Linked DNA regions of Schizosaccharomyces pombe. Changing the gene in region 1 together with any one later gene gives a genetic interaction. Each region holds a gene or a part of one and is shown on either strand. Other genes may lie near its edges.

Region 1 (7,176 bases):
GGTTTTTAATCAAACACCTGAGAACCTCAAAATCCAACCTGATGCGTTTGAACATTTGCTTAATCAAGCAGGACTAGTGCTTGAATACAGTATCGAACCTCAAGTAAATAACTCTGAGTACAAGAATTTTGCCAAACGAACAATGTATATCTATAAAAAAAAAGGAATTGGAATCATAAAACTATTAACTTCTACTTAATTGTCTAGTAAAACGTTAAGAATAGACAATGACTGGAACTATAAAGCATAATGTCCCAAAAGGACGTGTCTCATTTTTTATTAAATTCTCTAATTCAACATATGAGGAAAGAAAGAAAAGCGGAATGAAGTAGTTTTATTATTAGATTTGGCCTTTAATATCAACCACAGCATGCTTTTTCATGCATTTTTCGAATCTATCCGTGCTTTCTTTCATCAGTATGCGATTGGGATCTTTTGAATCGTATACAGCATTACAACTCCTAAAAAAGTTTACACAATCTTCCATTTCTTCAAATGCTAGTGTGTTAGCCAAAAATTCCATTGTAAGAGAAGGGCGATATGCTTTGCACATCATTATCATCGCCTGCACTCGTTCTCTCTCAATAAAAAGATCCATCAAATAACCTCCCATGTTGGGAGCGACTAAATATAGATGGAAAAATTTATAGTAATCGCCAGTAGCCATCGCCGAACGGACTTCTAATGCATGTGTAACAGCAGCGTTTGTTTTGTCTTCTTCTTTTAGATTGGCGAGAAGGCTATTCATTTCTATAAATTGTTAATAATTTGAATTCAAAAGATATATTCTTTTAAGCAGTAAGCCGTAATTAACTTACCAGATCGATTTTTAGTGAAGAGCATATACAGAATACGATATGCTAAAAATTCCTTAGTATTCCCTGGTATACCAAAACTGTAAAGATGAAATAATTGAGTTTGACATTGGTTATACTCGCCAACATCACCCTAGTCGAACGTTAGAAGAAGAAATGATATTTTAAAGTAATTAACCGTACCTTTTCAAGAGCTATACGAGCATGTATTTCGTAAACTAATACAGAAAACTCATTTTGAATCCTTTGCACAGTTAAATCCTGTCTTAAACTTTTAAATTGATCGCATATATATGCATAGTTTTTCTCTTCTTTCCATTTCTTCTTTAAAAGTTCGAGAGTTTGCTTAAGAACTGGAAGGGGTCGAACAGTATCCGGATCAGGAGCCGAAGTTAATCGCAAATACCTTTTCTCTAATTCTGTGGACCGTCCTATAATAGCACCATTCTCCGGGTTGACTTTTAGCTCTTCAGATTTAGCGTTATTTTGAGAACGAGAACCATTTTCAAACCTTCTTCTTCTTTTTTCTTTCTTATCCACTTCATCTTCTTCACTTAAAAGTGAAAATTGATTTCCAGAAACAGGCTTCTCAACCTTTCTTTTTTTATCTTCGATGATTGTATTTTGAGCATTTGTCAGTTTCCTTAGGGATTCTAAATTCATAGAAGACCAATCAACATTCCATATGTTTCCCATTTCGTATTGACGAGAAATTAGCAATTTTACTTCATCCTCTAATTCTGGCTGGCTGTTTTCCTCAGCGTCTTGGATGCATCTACCAATAAATTCTTTCAAAGAGTCCGGCCAAGGGCTATGATGTTCTTTTTTCATATTTAATATTTTTCATTGAGCTATATGATTAATGCTAAAGTTAAGTACTTTTCTCAACTTCCTCAATTGCTAAAGTGGTGAGTACCGAGATTGTATGAGAAGTGCGAGTCCGTCAGCTTAACCCTGTCAGTAACGTTGTAAGTCGATTTCATTATCCAACCTTTCAATCAATAAGGATTAATTTATTACTATTCAGTTGATCGTTCATCATTTTTTCCTTTAAAAATTTAAAAAGTCATCAAATAATTCAACGGTTCCACCTAAACTTGTTTGTTCGCTTAAAATTTATGAAACCAACATGGAAAGTAGTTAATATTAACTCACGCTATTCACGCATATTTTATTCTGTATGCCTCATATAGCCTTGATTAAACTACTAAAAGAGAGTAATATACCGAATTATCAAGCCTAAAACACTACCTCCCAATAAAGCAATCGTAATTCATTATTAAATAAAAAAAAATTTGAAGACTGCTTCGAAAGTTTTGTAGTAATATCTTGAAGAATGTAGGTCTAAATTCTAAGCTTTTGGTGACATTATTTAAGATAACTAGCAACCGGAATGATTAAGCAAGAGTCATATTAAATAAGTACGGAATATAAACACCAAATTCAGTGGTGCATCAAGTAGATAGATTTTATATTTTTGAAACAGCTGGTAGTATTAGCAGCATTAAAAACATCGTTTAAATGTCTCTGTATTAAACACCATATTGACATAAAACAAACTAAGCGTTCACCACTATTATGATATTATGAATGATTACATGATTTCAATAATTAATAATCAAAATTAAATGATAAAAGTTTTATTAAATATATTCATTTTCTCATGGAGCGACAACAGATTATAGAGTCTTTACGCAGAATAATTCCCACTGAAAGTACAGAATATAATGAACGGCTTATTAGTTTAGGAGAGTCATTTTTGGAATGGTCCAAATATAAACATAATCTAAAGGCGACAGAAGAGTTATGCCGTCCTTATATGGCAGCGCACTTAGCTTGTGAACTGTAAGTAACTTCTGATGTTTAATTACTCTACTTGAACTTGTTCTGACTCTTTAAAAAGATTATCCAATGATTTAAATTTGGAAATAAATTTACTAGCGACTCCAATTCCAAAAAAGAAATACTATAAACTTTTCACTTACTTTCAAGAAATCTTATCTCCATTAACTAAATCCTTAGCAGCTAAAGATGATCTGATGGAAACCATTACTTATCTTTGTACCAAACTAGGGGGCTCAACTGCTATACCTTATGTTAAACAATTGGTGAAAGCCGTTGTTACAAACGACATGCGCATCGAACACAAAAGAGGCATCATAATCGCAGCTTATTTACTAGTATCGGCAAAAGCTTTTGGAAAAGACGAACTTCATATAAATCACACCGAGAGAAGAAAGGCACAGAGTGTTTTACAGGATACAAGTTCTGCATTGCAAATTCAGTATTGGATGCATGTCCTCTCAGAAAGTTGGCAGTATAAAGAAATCCCTTTAAATGGTATAGAGGGTTATGAATCTCAAAAGCAACGGATAAAACCTTGGAGTGGGATAGCAAGCATGATTCAAATAGATTACGAAAAACGACTTCAAAATTATCCAATATGGAAGGCCTGCATTGAAGAAAGAATCCAATATTACAAAAGCCAGCTTGAAAAAGATGGTACTGCTTCATGAATACAATTTACTATATTAATTTTTTTTTGTACATTAAACAACATTTATAAACGGGTACACGATATCTTTAGTGATATATACAAATACATGAGTAAAAAAAAGTTAAATTAGACTCTAAGCTTTACTAATAGACCACTCCAAATTTGTAATAGACACTTCTGAAGAGGCATTTTCATCATAGTCATACCAATCATCCTCTAATACTATTTCGTCAAAAAGTGTATTACTTTCAGCACCATTAGCTATCCATTCTCCCTGAGGAATGAATTCGACTAGTTCACATCCTCTGCATTCCAATACGAGAACTTTTTTCGTCTCTTGAGAATCATTGTAAGGAGAGAATGGCCCCTCTATAACGAAAGAGCAAGTTTTGCGACAATTTTTGCACGTCCATATGAGATTAGCCTCGCCCTTGCTGCCAGGTATGCTGTGAGTCTCGCTGCGGGAGATTTCAATGGCATTGTCGTGAATCTCTCGACAACCACTACATTGGACTTTAAAAGCATAATAGAAGGATTCTTCATCCTTGGGAGCTAAATTTTTCACACCAGTCAACTCAGCGTTTAAGTTAAGAGCAAATTTTCCCATATTGCGAAAGAAACTCTAGGAATGCAGCTTAACAAGCCGTTATATGTAATAAATTGAAAGAACAAGAAGATAGTAGAGTATGGGTATGTTGTTCGAAACGAATCTGTATTTTGGAGGATTAGAGTAATTTGCCTTTTGGTGGATTACGATGGTGAATGAATGAATATGCATGAATAGATACACCTATTTTAAGTCCGTAGAATGTGAGGGGCAGAAAAAAACTCAATTAAAGCATACTTTTCAATGAAATTAAAAAATTACAGAAATGCTAAATTTGAAGTAATTGGATACGTTTTTCTCATTGAAATAATATATTGATGAAGAATATAACATAGTCAATTATTAAATGAGACTTGGCAAAATCTAAATATCAGCTAAGATAGCTGTTCATTTGAGTGAATTACTTGGAGTTTGCTTAGTGACGGATACATAGTTAGTCTAATATAAAAACATGCCAAATATCCTCGACAATCATTATTCAGCAAGTAATTTTCGAATACTTGGTATCATTTTTAATGTTAAAAGTCATATTGTACTTTTCGCAATGCCGTAGCACAGATAACCAGCTACACGAATTTATACGGCAAATAGTCAAATTCCAACTATTGTGTTTTGTCCATATTTCATTTAATGCTTTACCGTAGACAAATTTACATGCAACTTTTTTATTTGCTTTCTGATTGATTACAACTTGTGTGAGCATTTCAATGTATACCTTCATCTGCAATTGCCCTTTACACACATTATTTCTTTACCTTTATTAACTTAGCCAGAATTGGGAAGGCCAGTCATTCTAGCCTGCAGCATTTTACGTTGTGTTCACTAGGGATCCCTAAAAGGTTAATGTTTTAGGGTGATTAAAGGTCGACTGGTATGGTATGGTATGGTAAAGTGGTATTTTTTGAAAATTGACACCAATAAAACATCTGCATATTTGTAGAAGCAAGAGTGATTCAGTAAGTGCTTGCGAGGAATAAGAGGTGTGGCGTGTATGTTGAGGAGCTTATTAAGCCAATTTTTTTTTTTCATATCTTTAACGACGAGAATCATTCAAAGAGCCAGAACAAAAAACAGATGACATTATTCAGGCCTGTTTACGACTGACATGACGCTATACGAGAAACAATATTGTCGGAGCGAGGATGATAAAAGTGTTGAAAGTGCGAAAATCGTGAATAATCTATATTTATCGCATGTGTCGGGATTGCAAATGGTACCATTGTACTGCAATTAGACTAGGTAGTCCTGGGCAGTCGCTGAGACAGCATTGGAGTTAGTGTTTACAATAGTTGATTATACATGTTTCATGTTTGAATAGCGAGGTTGGGAAAAAGAGAAAAACATCATAATAGTCAATGATGGTATTTAGTCATGATAGTAGTTTATTACAACAGCAACAGTAATGATCATAAGTAATACCATCATAGTAATATTTGTAGAAATAATGATATAAACAGTCCATACTAAGCAGGGATGATATTAGCTATACTAAGATGCCTATGGCAATCTGGAATTACATAACTACGTACGCTTTCTTTTTACATCTACTGGGACACTGTACATGCTAGAGCAGTGCATTCTGCTATTTTGATTTTTAGTGAGCTCGCGTGCAGCTTGATCGACAAAGGATCGACTAAAAAAATGCGGGATTTACAATACATAAGATTCACCAATAAGCAGAGTTAGAAGCCAAGGCCCGCATATTGGACCACTCACCAGCCCGTTACGCTTCCTCCTTATTCGCCTTTAAAATACTAAGTAAACACAAGTAACATACGTTTCCTCCATGCTCGCTAAATTGGTAGCAATAAAAAAATAGCGAGCACGCTCGGATGAGATAAGAAGACATAGCAAAGCTTAAAACATTAGTAAATAGTACGTGCATTCTTTATGGCAAAACGTTTTAACATTTTCTGATATTAATATTAAACAAGAAGAAAAAGAATAGAGTAAAAGTTAAATGTAGGGTGCAACGTTCCGTAGAAGAGGACTACGTGAAAATGACAGCAAAGTATAGTTTTGTGTATGTCAACAATCGCCGTAACCCCGGGACACCCCCAAAAAAGGTTTTACCTATTGTTTTCTTAATCTATTTACGTACCAGCAGGAACAATGCAATAAACCACACAAAAAATTTTTAACGTACTGGATCAGCAAGGAAAGAAGGGCGATAAGTAAATGAATAATATGATATATTCGAAAATGCTTTTTTTTTGGATTACTAAGTACAGCATTGCTTCTATTTCCATAGCAATCCACTCTTTCGTGTGTTTGTTTACAACTAGTAGTAACTGTTTTCATTACTTTCGTAGAGGCGAATTGCTCTTTAACCTTGCTGACTCATTTGTTTCGGTAATCACAGACGATTGGTAACAAGTATGTCAAAGAGGCCAGCCATTTGATTCCCTTCTGCACCCGGTAGATAATCGAGCAATTGAAGACTTAAGGACTAGTGATTAGACAAAAGTGTCTGCCTCGCCTTCTCCGATTTCGTTACCTTATGAGATTGAAATTTCACCAATTTCACAACCCTGCCTTTGCAACACCTTCTTGAAGGGACTCTACTCTCTCTTCACTTATAAACTAGCAAGTTGGCTTATTACTTTGTGTTGCATTTTTGTTGCATTGGAGTGCTTTACAGCTTCCATCTTGGAACAATTTCTTTTTTATCTTAGATAACGCCAAGTTTCAAAAAGCAGATTCGCCATCTTATTCATATCTATCTGTTGTTTATGCCAATCCTTGCTTTTTTTTCTCTATTTTGAGACTACTATCGAACGATTGACCTTGAGAGCATATCTATATACATATTAACTTATTTCTTGCATTTTTACCTTCTCTTTCGCTTTAGCAGCGATCCATTTTCTAGCGTTCATTCCTACCTTGGTGTCGTGTTTGCACGTTCTTATTTCGAACTACTTAAAAAAATAGTGGCCTTATTTTCAAATCCTTATTAGCTAAAATAGCAAAAAAATTCCCTCCAATCCTAAAGGTAACTGGAAGACAGTACCTATCTATTCGAACCGTGGGCTCTGTTGCAACCCGTGTAGCTCAACTGTTTTTTCGTGTTATTTCAGGTTTGTCTTCTCCCAAAATATACATACATTTCTCATTTTCTAGCTCTTTGCTGCTTGTACTGTACAAGTTTTTTTTCTGTTGACTGCATTTACGGATCTCGGTTTTCCGTTTGTTTATTTATCCGCTTTGAAACCGAGACACAGAAAAAAAAAAGTGTGGCCATTGTTGGAATTACAAGG
Region 2 (7,382 bases), on another chromosome or scaffold:
AACTCATTTTATGGAGGAAAAGGGTTTCACTTTTGACAAATCGAAACTCGAAAGCAAAATCATAACCTTTAATACCAGCATTACTGAGATTGAGGTGACTGAGCATGGGACCGGTCATATTCATACGTTCGGAGATGCCTCTCACCTTGAATCGGAAGAGACTGGCAAATTAATTGCTTAAACCTCTTACTTACTATTTTTGACCTATCAAGCTTTCCTTTGCTCGTTTTAGATAGCTAGTACTAATGTTTTAGTGATAGCTCACGTTTAAATTAAAATTTTCAAATAATTTTGTTTTTTAGTATATGCTTATATAAAATTTTAAATTAATATTTTTTCATTCAAAAGGTAAATTTGGCTTATCTTAAATAATAAGTGCTGCTGTTCGTCTCCATATATAGTGAATATAATCATAAAAATGATAACAATAATAACAATATCATAATGGAATAAAGAGCATCACGTTTAACATTTCGGTTCATTTCGTGCCCCGCTGATGAGATGCGGAAAGTGTCATAAAGTACATGAAAAAACAAACACATTAAAAAAAAAGGTTTATGTACAACTTCTAACGGAAGAGTTTTGTACCACTTTAAGCCGGCGAAGCAAGGCAAAATCCACATTCATCATATTATATGGTTACTTGCATTCCTTGCTGGCCAGCTTGGGAACTGCGGAAATGGATTTTTGACGGAAACGTTCCACCGCTATCATAATAATTAGTAACGAAAAAAAAAATTGAATAAACCACTTACACATTATCAAATGCTTCCCATAGGTAAATTTTTTAAGAACAGATATATGAGGATATATGTAAGAAATAAGAAGATCCCTTTCCTCCTCTGGAGAGGCATCAAGTAATTTTTGAATCACATAGTTCGCATATTTATCCTTCATCATTAACATCAAAATACTACAACTTAACGAAATTAGTTAGATACATTCTTGGAGTTGCAAATAAAAGAGGATACTTACTTTTCAGCCTTCTCAGAGATGATTTTGTTCAAAATTCGACGTCGATCAACGTCGGAAATGTAAGAAATACACCTTTCTACAACATTAGATGCAAACTTATGACAACTTAAAAATAGCAAATGATCTATCATAAGATCAAAAATGTACTTTTTGTCGCTCTCGCTTCCGGTTCTCAATATATGTTGAACAACGTAATTTCCATATTGGTCTTGAGTTAATTTCAAAATGTGAGGTAGCAGTTCTTCTATAATTAATTTACGCTCACTATGACAATGCTCAATGGCACGCTGTATAACTCGACAACCGTATGGATGGGCGGAAAGGACATGAATTTGTGGGCGCAAAGCTCTAAGAATGAACTGTAAGTGTCCAGTATCAATGCATTCGATAGCTTTTTGAATAACATGATTTCCATTCTGGTCACATACACAATCTAGGACGTGACCATCTAATTCCTGAATAAGTTGAACTTGGTGCTCAGGAGAAATATATTCAATAGCTTTTTGAACAACTCGGCAACCATACATTTGCAAAGATAAGGAAAAAACATGACCTTTAATCTGCGACAATAATATTTGTTTCTGCTTCTCGTTACCAAATTCGAAGTACTTTTGCACCACATAATTACCAAAGATATCCATCATTAATTGCAAACAGCTAGTAGACGCAATCTCTTGAAAAACTGCTTCCCTTTCTTCTTCAGTGGCCGTCGCAAGCTTTTGTTGAATAAATCTTGAGCCATGTTGATCGGTACTGAACAAAACTACATTTCCAAGGATATCAGATAACTCGAAATGTCTCTGCTTATTTGCATGAAATAAGTACAGAACTCTGGATTGTTGCAAAAATTCCTGTCCATTTTGATTAATTAACGAAGGGTTAGCTGGAGTGGCTGCCGAAAAATTGGAAGTTGGTAATACACTTATAGGAATAGTCCCAGGAGCAACTACTTCAGAAGGATTGGTTTCGGTTTTTGGAATACCAAAGGCAGATATATCAGGCAAACTTTGTCTAAATGAAGTACCAATAGGAGAAACAGTAGGACGTACAGAGGCTGATCCAAAAAATGACGAATCATTCTTCAAAGTAGGTGAATTACCATTAGCAAATGCAGGAGAAGTTCCATAACTTTGATGAGCCATCAAACTTGAGTCGAATGAGCCATCCCAAGACGGTTTAAAAGATCCTGAGCCACTTGAAATAGAAGATTGGGTAATAGTAGTTAAATCGCCTATTGATGAATGTGAAGCATGTCTTGAAGGTTTACTTGTAGCTGGGATCCAAAAATCAGAATGTGCGCGCGTATGGCGAGGGAAAAACTTATCAGATGTTCTTGCTGTGCTAGCAGAAACTGTACGAGCAGAATCACCACCAATGGGCGTCAATGGGGATTTTAGGGTTTGTGGAAATCGGGCGCCGCACTCAGAGTTCAACTGACCATAAAGTTCTGTCTTCAAAGGACGCAAATCGGAATGTAGGCCAGATAAAGAAGAGCTAGTTGATTCGGAACGCTTACGAAAAGGGACCTCCAGTGAGTTAGGAAACTTCGAGATAACAGAATCTTCTTGCAAATTAACAAGACTTGGCATCGCCTTTATACTTTGTTTACCATTAGGGAAGGGATTACCATGATGATTAGCCGAAGGGGCAGTAGGCGTAGATACCAGTGAATCGGGAGAATCCCCGTCAAGTGAAAGCCAAGTTAAAGACGGGATCGGGTTAGAGTAGGAAACAGGTGACTCTAAGGAAGCTTGTTTGTTTGATCCGTGTGGGAAAGTATAGTTAGAACTGATCATAGAGGAATTGAAGAATGAAGAAGTTGGTGATGTGCCAGACAAAAGACTGGGCCGACGTTGACCATAATTATTCGTATCCAAAGAAGATACAGGTGCTGACGGGAAATTGAATGCAGAATTTCCCGAAATGCTCTCAGATGCGTTTGGATTGGAATTTACAGCAGTAAACATCACAAAATGGAAACACAGTTTTCACAGGTAAGCGAAAGTGTAAAGATTTACAAATGATGTAGCACAAAAAAGGAGTGTAACGAAGTTTTACTGATACTTGGAGCAAACCAAAAAGCACAAAGAAGGATATAACAGTAAAAAAAGAATAGAAATAGAAACAACCCAAATGAAATAAAGTAAATGTCGCTTGTCTCCACTGGTTGATTGTACCGGTCAAAGTAATAAGTTAAACAAAAATACTTGAGGAAAAGTATTTCTACGGCTTTGAATTGAGACCTATTATTGCATAAATAGCGGCAAAAAATTGGATGATTCTTCAAAATCTCGTAAGAGTTTAGCAACGACTGCTTCACTCACTAACGAAGGACACCAAAAGAATTAGTAATGTATATATATATATATATATATATATATATGTTATGAATATTATATATATAAATTAGTTAAATCAAATAAATCAATGTCGGGTAAAGCTCGGGAAAAAAACTTTTGGAAGGGTAAAGCTTATATAAGGGAGATGCAACGAATATGAAATTGTGTTCGAAGTGTTATGAACTTACAAAAAGTAGAAAAAAATCTAGAAGAGGAAGGTAAAAAAAGAAAAAAAAGAATCAATGAATCGATAAAGAATGATTGTTAGAATCAAATTTCCCGTTTTCGAATCGAAGAAGCCCAACAAGTATTAACATGAAATCGTAGTTGAGAATAATGATGATGAAAAAGGATTCGCCAAGACTAGTCAGCGTTCAATTATGGTAATTTTAGTACCTAAAGCTTCTTTTCTTTTTAATGAAACGAGATTTCACAATTTCGAGCGCCTTAGGTGGTATTAAGGAAATTAAAGTATGCTTCTGATATGATGAATCAGTAGTTTTTCAAAGTGCTTTCCGATTAATTGATATCAAACTTAGAAAAAAATGTAAAGAAACCAAAAGGGTAAAAAATAAAATGCAATTCAAACTTGGAGTCGAAGTGGTTCCCGGTAAGTTTGATGAGCTGAGCGCTTCCACTTTATGTCATGACGATCGGTCGAACAAACCATTAAACAAATATACAATGTCGTTAATCTTACAATTTTATTTCTATTTTTTACAAACTTAGAATTACTATTTATGTATTCAACTATAGCAATTGCTGCATATCGACTACCAAACGACTTTCGTTCACTGCGCTCAACGGTACTATATCCGCAGACATATCTCTTGTCTATTGAAATCAGCCGTCAGGCGTATAGCGTGCCTTTACTTTCCGTGAAACACTTAACGCAGGCACGGAACAAGGTGGAACGCAGCTCCGACTAGGTTCGGAAAGAAATCTTCGAAGAACACAAATGCTTGTGAGTAATGCTGCAGTACAGTGTGTACTTTATATCGTTATAGAAGGTAATGCACAAGAGATTTACAATTGCAAAAGTCTCAAGGAGGCGCTGCATGAGGCATCTCTTCCAAGAAGTTCACAAAAACGACAGCTTCCGTGGGGGCTAATAGCGGGACACTATTTCCTAAAACATAAGTTATTTACATCTCCTAGAGTCTAGAAAACGATAGCGTAATGAGTAATTTTCGGCTAAAACAAATGACTGCTAAATCATGGGTTGAATAGTAAAAGGTTTCAGTTTGAGAACGGGTGATTAATAATAATAGCAACAATTACAGATGGGAAAACTTGAGGGCTTGGTGGAACTTTCGTTTGAAATACGATAGAAAGAGTGTCATGAAAGAGTTAATAATTAGTATTGCTTCGTTTGAAAAAGAAGAGAGAAGTTGATCATTCCATAGATTATAGAGTATCGTAAATGGTTTAACACGACATCAAATAAAAAAGAACGAAATTATTTCTGTATGAACCACCATATCACGGATGTGCGCACAGGTTTCATTCCATTATTCAAAATAATACTATAAATTAATTTTATTTATTGTATAATGAGAATCCCAAAAGTCGTAGAGAAATTTTTAAAGCATTCCATCCGTAACATAGGATCGGACATGACCCATTTTATACTACAATGGTAGATGTGTTGATAATCAAAGGGCTCATGGTGTTGGATTTTCTTGACCACGCTTTTGCATGTGCTGTGAAAGACTCTGATTTGCTTCAAAGTATTTCGATACACAACGGTCAATACACACGCTTTCTCCTTTCGTTAAATCGGCTTCATAGTATTTAGGAGATATGCACTTTTTATGACAGGTCATTACAAGTCTAGAAAGGAATGTTAGCGACTTTTGTAGAAAAATTTTTAGAAATTCGTCGGATTGGTCTTTTCATAAGATAAAACAATGTAAATGTATTAAAGAAGTAAACAAATACTTATGTAAAATTGGAATAATATTACGTTGCCAAAAATTAGTCTACCAAAGTACCATAGTTTTTAAAAAAGCTAGGTATGCAGTACAATTGACTTAAACGAGTACAGCACTACTTTCAAGGTATGTACTGAGACTTTGTAACTTTTTGACAACCCTTCGAATACTTAAATTCACGATGAATTTTGAAACGTAAAAATAGACGGCTGTAAATATCAATCCTTAGCTTCTCTATTAAGCATACCTATTAAAGATATCAGACATCATCTCAACCTCTTGCTCAGCCATAGCAATGTTCTGAGGATTAATGGTCTGATTATTCTTTCCGATTCCAAACATAGACATTTTTATAGATTTATGGCGCAAAGATTGCTTTCAATTTGGTTTTTTTATTAAACCGATAGCACTGTTGCGGTGGAATGAGAGTAGGCATATTGTTAAAGCATCTACCTTAAAGTAGCAGTGAGCTTTCAAGTAACATCCTTAGTTTTTAGGCTACGATGTACCATGAGAACTCCACGTTGTCCGCTTAATAATTATCAGTTTGTAGTCATTCTCTATTTCTTTAATTTCTTAAAACTACCTGCTAATTTGTTCATAAAAAATTGGACTGCTTTTTCGTTTCCGTGTGGACTGCCAAATGTTCGTTGACAGGAATGCGGAAGAACGAAGTTTATTGGCATTTGTAACTGACATGGCTCCAGGGGTTTTTTGAACGTGTTTATAATCAAAATTCCGCAATAATGCCTCCTACCTATCCTTGCACTCAACTTTGTTTTGACATTAAATACTAGAAATTCCACAGTCAATACAACTCGTACTTTCAGTGTAAATATCCACAGCTATTTACTACGCAAGTTAGTGCAATTCCATATGAGGATATATGAAAGGACCAAATATCGTTTTGTTAACTTGTTCTATTATATAATCGGCATATCATTGTATGCAGTGGGAATTTATGCACCGGGATCGCCAAATATAATAAATATTCTATTACAGAGGTTTTATGTATATTTTTAACAATTGGGTTTATCTCTAATCACGGGTCGACCAAACGTAACAAAAGGATGCTGGCAGAAATAATATAATATAAGTGATTTTAATGAAACCGTCAAAAACTTTGCTCGTATATATAACGAGGCATAGCATACTCTCTTTATGTAGTTTTAAGGACTTACAGCAGTTCGTAATATCACCCTGTCAGTACCATAACCATATGTGCGCAGTACACGTAACTTGAACAGAGGAGTATTAGACGCAATCTTTGCGATACATCAGAAACCCTCAGCTTACCGCACAGACAGTCGTTTTGTTTTGTTTTGTTTTTTAATTTGTTGGAAGAAGAATTTTGGCCTAATTCAGTAAGAAAAATAGTGCGAGGCATCAAAAGTAAATAAATCGAGTCGAAAATGTCAGTTTCACAGCAATTGTCCGAGTTAGCATCGTAAGTTCTCAGTAAAGTAAATTACAACCATACTAATGAAAAATGAAGAAAGGAAAAAACTGTTTTATACGTTGCTGATCAAAACTTAGAGGAGGTGCTTTGTTTTCCAGAATCTACAGATAGGACAACCTTGGTTCAGCTTACGGATGCTTGTCTACATGCTAATGAATTGGCTAAACATTTAGAATTTGGAAAGCCATTATCTATCACAAACCAGTACTCACGAGGTAGTTGTGTGTTGCAAATAGCTAAAGAAAAAAAGGACGGTTCTGGTATGGTAGTTTCTACGACCATTGCTGCTCATAATGCATTACGCGGAGCTCTTAAATGTAGCAATGCTTTGGATCAAGTTATTTCTCAACTTTAGTTGCTGTATATTTACTCCTACTATCAATGAAGTTCACACCTTATTTATTATGTCGGCTCCTAGTATCTGTCCACGGCGACGTCGACGTCCAAGAATATTTTCATTTTAGACTATAAAAAAATATCTTTATTATTATGTACTGTAGCAAGTATAATATTCGTTCGTAACCCATACCTGGTCTAATGCACTTCAGGAGAAAATGAGCGAGTTCGATAGTAAAGTATAGCGTTCATTTTTAAGTCTATTAATTTTACTTCAGAACAACATCCGATGAGCGAAGTTTAAGATACTCTTGATCAGCTCCAGATGGAAGCTCCCGA
Region 3 (8,672 bases), on another chromosome or scaffold:
GCTCCACCAGGTGATCTCCAACTTTCTGAAAGTATCGATGAATTAAACAATAACATCGAGGAGTTGAAAGCTCAATTAAACGCTATCAACACTCTTATAAAGAAGGCTGAGCTGGTTGCTGACCAAAAGCAATTGAAAAGCCTTACTAAAAACCATCAAGAGATTGAAAAAGCAATTCACCGCAAAGAACGTCAACGAGATCAGTATATGTCGCAAGAAGAAGACAGTAAACTCTTTAATCGCTCTCGGGTGTCTATTGATTCATTTAAAATTAGCAAAGAGGAGAACACCCCAGACTTTGCTGTTTACACCATACGCATTGAACGACTTGAAAATGGACATGTCCGTTCCGGATGGATGGTGGCTAGACGGTATCGAGAGTTTGCAGAGTTGCATAAGCAGCTAAAGCAAACATACCCTGGAGTCAGATCTTTAAAATTTCCTCAAAAATCGATCATCACCTCTTTAAACAAAAATGTTTTGGAATATCGAAGGGGTGCTTTAGAAGAATATCTTCAATCATTATTCAGAATGCCAGAGGTTTGTGACAGCAAAATGTTGAGGATGTTTTTGTCACAACAAAATATCACAGCACCACAAATGTTTAATCCTAAAGAAGTTGGCAAAAAATGGAAGCAGCTTTTAGAAGTCTTAGGGTTTGAAGTTAATAATTCTTTCAACGCATCCAACGTTAACACTAACTCGTCATTCTCAGGTCCCATCTCGGAATTTTTAGTCGAATTGTTTTCTCCAAATGACGATGCAAAGCAGCAATGGTTACCGAAAAAAACTTATATATCGATATTGGAACAACTTTTTGGCGGAGCTTTGGAAAAGCGTATACGACTACAACTGTTTCAGTTGTTTACGCCTGAGAAGATTTATAGGAAGTTACGCGAGTTTAGACGAGGACTTGAAGGTAAATCTAATCATGATCACTCCAAAGACCGCCGTCATTCACGGGCGCGAAAGCCAGCTTATGCTGATAGGAATCAATTGAAAGCAGAAGCAGGGATTTTGCTTGCTTCCATGTTTCCCGGCTATACACCTGATATTGCTGTGAAAAGAATATTTCGTATTCTCCAAAACCAATCTCTAAACGCTCATGTTATATACACCCTTCTTGACGAGATTTTGCTGGCTTTAAAGAAACACGCTAGATCAACTAATAAGGCAACTTGAGTGTCACTTTTTTACCTCTCTTGTTAAATCATAGCAAGAGTAATCATGTTCATGCTTTTCTTTAATCATATAATGTAATTTCTTCATAGGATTTGATAATACTTTATTACAATTCATCCACTAGATAATTTCAAATCCTGTATTGTTACTGACTTTAAAAGAAGGGTTATACCATTTGAAGTACAAATTATGCGTAAAAATTAAAGCAAAAAGACTTTTTCATTTTAGCCAAAAACTATCAAATTACTATGATTTTTCTATCCCCTCTCCATTTTCTTGCATAAGCAAATGGTGGCTTCTAGTAGCGATGTCGGGTAGAGTAATCTTTTGGAGAAATAACAAGACCTTTACCTTTTCTAGCACCACGAAAAATAGTTTCTATAATATCGATCATCTCTTGTTTATCTTCTAACGGCCAGTTGATTTTGTTATTGTTACCAGTACCTAAGTCAATCATCATGTGTTTGTTTCGATAAAAAAACATTATTGTAGTTCTGTCATAAAGCTCGTACATCTAGATGGTAATAAGGTTAGCAACATGACTTTCCAACTAAGACTTAGACTTACCTTGTTGAAGTCAGGAACTTCGTCAATGTCCACTAAATATATGACAGCCATGTTGACGACCTTTTCAGCAATTCTGTATAGGACTTCATCTTGTTTTATACATTCTTCATCCTATTCCGTTACGCGTTAGTAAATTAATCCGCCTACAATATTAAATAGACTTAATCCAAGTAGATATCGACATTAGAACATACATGATCTCTACCAAATCGAATGACAACCAAGCGCTCTTGTTCTATTTATAAAAAAAAAGGTTAATAAGCTGATTCGAAGTTGTGAAACGAGAAACATTCTACGTTTCTTAAAGTTCGCGTACCTGATAAAATTGCTTGATCAACGTGCCTATAAACATAAGTTAGAGAAGAATAAATCCATCTATCACAAAAACTTACCATCCAGAATGTAAATGAGGTAAAAAATAACTCATTATATCAACTGAAGCTGCTGAATTGCAATATTTTGGTAATTTCTAGCAGACGAGAATAGTGTAGATATGTAAGTCACACAATATACACTTTGCGCGTTAGGATGTAGCAATGCTTTAACTCTACGTAAAAAAGCGTATAATAGTGTAAATGCTATTCAGTAAATAAATTTAGTGAAGTTATGAGATTCTTGACACAAGTGGGATTGCTATTACTTTCGTACATTACATGCTTAGTTGAATCGTTGATGTGTTTACTACAATTATATATATTCATACTTCATCTAATAAAACAATGAAATTCAGAATTTTTTACAATTCTAGAAACCGACCGTTTAAGCAGTTTACTGTGTTTAAAAATTAAAGTATCCGTAATATTCCAAATATTTTGTGAAATACTATTATAAAAAATTTAATTTAGAATCGTAGCTAGGCCGTATAAAATTATTTTTTCAAGTCCCAATCGCAACATAGACGAATGACCTTTGCGTTTTTCTCGACTCCATAGCATAAAATTACAATTGCAAATTCTTTAAGTGACTTGGGTGTTCGCGTTGTAAGCTAACTTTTCTTTTTCAGATTTGTTTGGAGAGTGCAGGATATGCTATAAATTTGTATTTAAGAAAATTTCTGAAAGGTTAAAGTCGCCAAAGGTTGAAAATTTTAAAATGATGTTGATTCATGATAATGGCTTCGGGGAAGATAAGTGTTCCACCCATGTCTTAAGTTTTAATAGTAAATGGCTTAGGATTACTTTATTCGTCTACAAATTGTTGCTTCCTCTTGCTCTGTGAAGACTTGATATGGCCCCCTCTATAATCCACGAACCATAATAGAAATGCAAATCGTTTATAATGGGGAGCTAGAAATCAAGCTGGCGTTTTAGGGATAAACCAAATATTGTCCAAAGCAAGTAATAGTCATCAGTGGTTTCATTTAAAATACATCAATAGTTGTTAAAATGCAGATAATTATGCTGACCTGTGAAATTTTTGGGGTATGAAGAATCATGTAATTAGAGTTTCTTATACACTAACAGAGCTCCAGCTCTCTCTCGACTTTCAGGAATCAAGGAGTTATAATACCTCTGTACTTCTTCATACTTCAACCCTCGGGAGTCAAGATAGCTGTATAAGCTATAAAACCGCTCTTCAAAGAAAATCAGATAATCCGGCCATTCTTTAATTTTATCTAGAAAAGTAGGCATATTCTCGTAAAAACGATCCGTCTCATCAAAGGGCTTTTCGAACGGTTCACATGTCAAGAACTTCCATCCATTTTCAGCAAAAGGTGAATGGATATGCGACTGCCATGGTGTAGTGTGACACGGAGCAAGTATTAGACCAGTTTGGTTTTTTTCAGCAAGTGAATGTATTAATGGCATAACTTCCATGACTCCAAATTGATGAAATCGGCATAAAAATGTAATTACCAGAGCATGTCCCAATCCAATAAGGAAGAAAAACCGTGCTGCACGCTTCCAAGAGGAAAATGATGAAAAAAATTTTCCAGCTAAAGTAAGTAAAATCGGTGAAATTGGGTATACAAACCGAAGTTCTTTATGTCCTATCAGTGAATAGGGAAAGAAAACACAAAGAATGGTTCCCGCTGTTTGAAGGTCCATTGTGAGTAATACGAATGGAAGAAATCCTCCGCATATTAATGGGAGGGCTTGAGAAAGGTAATAGTGCCATGCGTTCAATCCATACAAAGAGGAAAGGCCTGAAGTAACATTAAATTGAAAGAACGAAATGATGGGAAAGACAAAACGACCGTAAAGTATTCTATCAGCAATAATATTAACTAAAAATAAAGACACACACAAAACGAATATGCCAAAAAGCCGCCCATAACCGAGAGCATATAAAAAACGAAAGCGATTAAAAACATTGGAAAACGAGAGTAAATCCTTTATGGGTGTTTGAGGATTTTTGTTCCAGAATAAAAGTGGGAATATCCAGACTAGTATATTTGTAGGTCGGATGAAACAAGCAAAGGCTGCGACTGAAATGAAGCCCAAAAGTGAAGAGTACGCTTTCTTACGTTGCTCAGGAGAAGAGTTTTCATATTTTAGGTAGTAAGAGAAATAGTAAAATCCTATGGAAGTCAATGTTGTCTCCAATGAATTGGAAAAGGTTCGGACACCAACGTACGCATTCATTATGGAGACAAGAGAGCAAGCCAACGTCCAATTCGCGGTTTTAGAACCATATCTTACTAGTGCAAATTTATAAGTTCCATAATCTAGTATAGCAGCAAACGTTCCTTGCAGGAGTTTTGGAGCGTTCGTGAAAACGAAGTAAGATGAGTCTAACTTGAGTACTTGCAAAACACGATATAGCGCTGCAAATATAAGCGGATGTAGAGCTGAACGGATTGCTGAGGTCCATTCCCACGTTAAGAATCCATAGCGGAATATGAAGTGATGGGCCACCTCTAACGATTGGTAAAATTCATCAGGTTGAAAGAACGTTTTTACCCACAACGCATTCCACCATCGGAAAACAAGAATCGCTAACCAAAACCAAATTCTCATGGCTTTTCGATGTACGTTACGACGGTTGGAATGCTACCGCGCTTCTAGACTTATGCCTTACAAGCCTTCGTTCTTGTTCAGTTTAATAAGCAATGTCAACGAATACGAACGGTTTGTGCCTTTCTGTCAAAAGTCCAAAGTCACTGAATACGATCCTAAAACTGGATATCCTACAAAGGCCGACCTTACAGTTGGTTTTAAAGGATTGTGTGAAACTTTTGATAGTAAGGTGGTTTGTGATCCTGTTGCCCTAACCGTGTTGGCAGACGCGTCCCATCATCGTCTGTTCCGGCGGCTTAAAACACATTGGAGTATTGAAGAGGCATCTCGGGGACGTGTTCGTGTTGATTTAGAGGTGGATTTTGAATTTGCAAGCAAACTCCATGGCATGATGAGCAAGTTTGTTGGATCTTCTGTAGCTTCTGAAATCATTCAAGGATTCGTCCAACAGGCTAAAATAAAGCATAAGCTAGAATCAGAAAATGAGAAATAATTACAATGATCCTGCATACAAAGGGGCTATGCCGCTATTCTTTCCATCTCAGCGTTTTTCCATCGTCTCTCTTTCAACCAAAGAAGGATATATTTTTATAAAAGGTTTCTTTTAGGAAATCATGGCTTCAGTAAGCTAAATTTTGGATCCTTCTCTTCACCTTATGTATTTATTTTATTTCATTTTTTTGGATACTCGCCAATATCATGGTATAGTTTGCTTTACTGCAATTTTTTTGATGCACAACAAAAAACTTGGTAAATTATTTCTCTACTATTAAATCAAGAGCTTAGGAGGAATTCTCATTTCTTAAAGAAACTTTACTTTGACGAAACTGTATTTTTTTTTTTGTTTTAACAATATGTCTTGAATATGCCTTCCTTTTCTTGAGTCACTGATAACCAAATATATATAATTATAGGGGTGTCTCTCTTTCTATTTAGTGCTGAAATATTGCGGATGAGCTTTGCCTCTAAAGTTGATAACCAGAGATCAGGAGTCCTTGAAGGTCAACTGTTTACAAAATTATCCTTCCTTGCTTTTGAATAGAAGGTGAAATTGGTTATGGAATGCTTCATGAAGATTTGCATTCAAAATGCATCCAGAACAATCACAAGTGTTATTTAAAAGTAAAGAATCCCTGAAGGAAAGAAAAAGTGATCTATGATGATCGTTGTTAAAAAGTCTATCAAATTTGGTCTACTGAGATATATCTAGGGAAAGCAAAATCATTTAAGTAAGACAATTCATGAAATACCCGGAGCACCTTTATAGTCGACTTTTCTTTCGATGATAAACATGACATGATTTCCATTATAGCTACAGAAACGAATTTTATGAAAAACAATCTTGTGTTTACCAACATTTTAATATCGTGCTCTATTAAACTGTGCAATATGCAAATACGGTGTTTGCCGATTTGCATTAACGGGAAGTATTTCTCCAGTAAATAAATGAAGCAAAGTGTTTTTATGTAAAATCCTTTTATCGCTTTTAACTTATAAGGATTTACTTAGTATATAAAGTTGCTGAATGGAGCCTTAAAAGTTCTAGCTGTTTTTTCGTGAAATAAACTATAGCATCACCATTCCATAGGTCCATTAGAAGTTGTGGAAATTATCCATGAGCATTTTTATATAGTGAAATTAGAATAATTTTTATCATTGAAAATAAATTATTAATTTAGTTCATTTCGAGGATGAAAACAAGTTTTATTATAATATACCTCTTATTTATACCGCATTGTTTACATCGCACGATATAACCAAACGAATCCAGTTAACGATAGCTACAACAGCCATCGGTATTAAACTATAGTGATTTGATAAGATGTTTCGAAATATATACTGGATAATATAATCACTGTCCGCTATCATAACCTTAAAAAGAAATCTCCTCTACAACTGCATTACTTGTTTACTGTGATAGTACTAAGAAATTCTCCACGTAAACCAAAATCTATTTTTTTTTCGAAATCTCGTATTTTATATACATAGGTTTCCCCTGTCATTTTAAAGTTCTGATTGTTTCTTTGACCTTATGGAAACCCATTTTACAATGCATTCAGTATAACGCTATCTAATCCATTCTCATATACAGTATAACGTAGTTATAAGTATATTGATTTGCGATCTCTATCATATTACAACGAAATACAATCCAGTCTGCAAAGCCATGACTTATATGACGAACTAGCTACATTTCTTTCTCCATTAAATCGATTAAAGAAGTATGGCACAAGACGATTCTTACGAAGAGAAACCTGAAGTTATATCCAGCGACTCGGGAGGAAGTGGTTATTCAACTGAAATCCAGATCGTCGGTACAGTAACTTCCTCGGACGGTTCGTATGTTGAGTATGAAATTGTACACCAGGTATGTGGCTTGAGATCCTTGGTATCTATGAGTTTAGCTGCTAATTTTTATACTGTAGAAGCGTTCCGTTTGGCGGAGATATTCGGATTTTGAGTCCTTGGTTAAGTTGATGCGTCGGCAGTATCCCGCTGCAATTGTTCCTCCTATACCGGGAAAACAATCACTTTGTAAGTTTTCCAATATATTTAGATATAATATCTTTCATCGCGTTTTTTCATTTTCTTTTCAAACGTTTATTAACATGGGCTGTGTGCAATTCATTGTACACACATGCTCCGCTGTTTAGTAAGTTATGCCAAACATCCACGAAAAGCTAAAAGTGATGCTGAATTCTTAAATTTTCGCTCCAGGATGCTAGAATTGTTTCTTCGTCAGTGTCTTTTGCATCCATGCATTCGTTCCAATCCTATTTTCGATAAGTTTATTCATAGCACTGTTTCTTGGCACGTGACTTTATCATCTTTAGATTTACCAAAGGATTCAAATACTGATCCACTCCGCCTTCCTCCTATTGCTACTGAGCATGACCCATTCGCTCATTTGCGCTCTTCCATGCCACTTGTAATGGCCAACTCATTAAGTCCCCCTTCGTCTCGCGCATTAAAGCCAATCCATTCCTTATCTAATCCTTCAACTGCTTCGAGTTTAGAACCTTCTTCTCCTTTGGGCTCTGAGGATGAATGTCATCCCCCAACAAGCGATATGCAACCTACGCATGAATTGAATGAAAGTCCTTCTACCCCAACGGCACCAGACTTTCCACATTACAATAGCTCACCTTCGGAGTTATCTCCCACACAGCGTCGTTCCAGCATTTCTAATGGTAAAGACGCACCCTCTCCAGTACTCAAAGATTTGACTTCCTATACTCAAGAAGTGATTGTTTGTCGGAAATTCCTTCATCATAGTCTGAGTCCTTCCATACATTCAACTTTATCTAGTATTTCTAAAATGGAGTCTTGCCTTTCAAAGTTAGGATCGGCATTTCACTCTTTGACTGCTCTCAATGAAATACAATTAGCAAATCATTTGCAAGTGATTGCTAATGCCTTTGAATTCAGCGGAATGTACGCCAAGGAATTCGAACAAGAATTTAATTCCTCCGTCTATGAAAAAATGGTTCAGTCTATGCAGCTGGCGAAGTGTGCCGCAGATGCTCTTAAGTATAAGCAATTGAAGATACAACAGCGAGATTTTCTTCAAGACCAGCTCATCCACTCTAACACAATGTCTGCTACCGACTCTATGGTAGCTGCTTCACCCACGATACACCCGGCGACCAGATTGAATACTATTCAACGAGCAGTTGTCTCCCAAGCCAAAAAGGGTTACACAATTTTTGGTCGCTTACAAAACGTTTTACATGACTTTGTAGAAGGTGAAACCTCCATTAGCAAAGAAAGTCTCCAGCAGCATAAGAATACCATAGAGAATCAACTAGCGGCTGCAAATTGGGATTGTCAAAAAATTGACGAATTCATGGATGCAGAGCTTAAATTCTACAAAGAATGTCAGACGTCGCAGTGGGAAGAAATAATTAAATCTGTTCATGAATGTATCTACAAATGGGCACAAACAAATTTACAACGATGGTT

The links.
Region 2: of ess1 (region 1) and tim10, a mutation in one rescues a mutant of the other (synthetic rescue), as found in Schizosaccharomyces pombe (one study listed by BioGRID).
Region 3: of ess1 (region 1) and coq10, a mutation in one rescues a mutant of the other (synthetic rescue), as found in Schizosaccharomyces pombe (one study listed by BioGRID).

What each region holds. Positions count from the first base shown.
Region 1 is NC_003423.3:2,964,877-2,972,052, forward strand, and holds ess1 (protein ess1), read right to left. Parts: upstream 4,077-7,176; 5' UTR 3,920-4,076; coding exon 3,446-3,919; 3' UTR 3,387-3,445; downstream 1-3,386. Other genes in the region: bmc1 (Bin3 family regulator), read left to right, coding at 2-199; iss9 (nuclear export factor), read right to left, coding at 341-750, 819-948, 999-1,646; origin recognition complex subunit Orc6, read left to right, coding at 2,479-2,660, 2,719-3,331.
Region 2 is NC_003424.3:942,986-950,367, forward strand, and holds tim10 (Tim9-Tim10 complex subunit Tim10), read right to left. Parts: upstream 5,668-7,382; 5' UTR 5,597-5,667; coding exon 5,496-5,596; intron 5,148-5,495; coding exon 4,979-5,147; 3' UTR 4,891-4,978; downstream 1-4,890. Other genes in the region: SPOM_SPAC1687.21 (fructose-2,6-bisphosphatase), read left to right, coding at 1-181; pumilio family RNA-binding protein Puf3, read right to left, coding at 640-707, 756-919, 976-2,942; Ragulator complex subunit Lam3, read left to right, coding at 6,661-6,695, 6,744-7,062; Ino80 complex subunit Ies6, read right to left, coding at 7,313-7,382. UniProt on the Schizosaccharomyces pombe protein: Mitochondrial intermembrane chaperone that participates in the import and insertion of multi-pass transmembrane proteins into the mitochondrial inner membrane.
Region 3 is NC_003421.2:876,459-885,130, forward strand, and holds coq10 (ubiquinone-binding protein Coq10), read left to right. Parts: upstream 1-4,707; coding exon 4,708-5,202; 3' UTR 5,203-6,436; downstream 6,437-8,672. Other genes in the region: sorting nexin Snx12, read left to right, coding at 1-1,182; U4/U6 x U5 tri-snRNP complex subunit Dim1, read right to left, coding at 1,481-1,696, 1,750-1,860, 1,944-1,984, 2,066-2,091, 2,142-2,176; gpi10 (pig-B family GPI synthesis protein), read right to left, coding at 3,189-4,709; sorting nexin Atg20, read left to right, coding at 6,934-7,077, 7,136-7,244, 7,364-8,672. UniProt on the Schizosaccharomyces pombe protein: Required for the function of coenzyme Q in the respiratory chain. May serve as a chaperone or may be involved in the transport of Q6 from its site of synthesis to the catalytic sites of the respiratory complexes.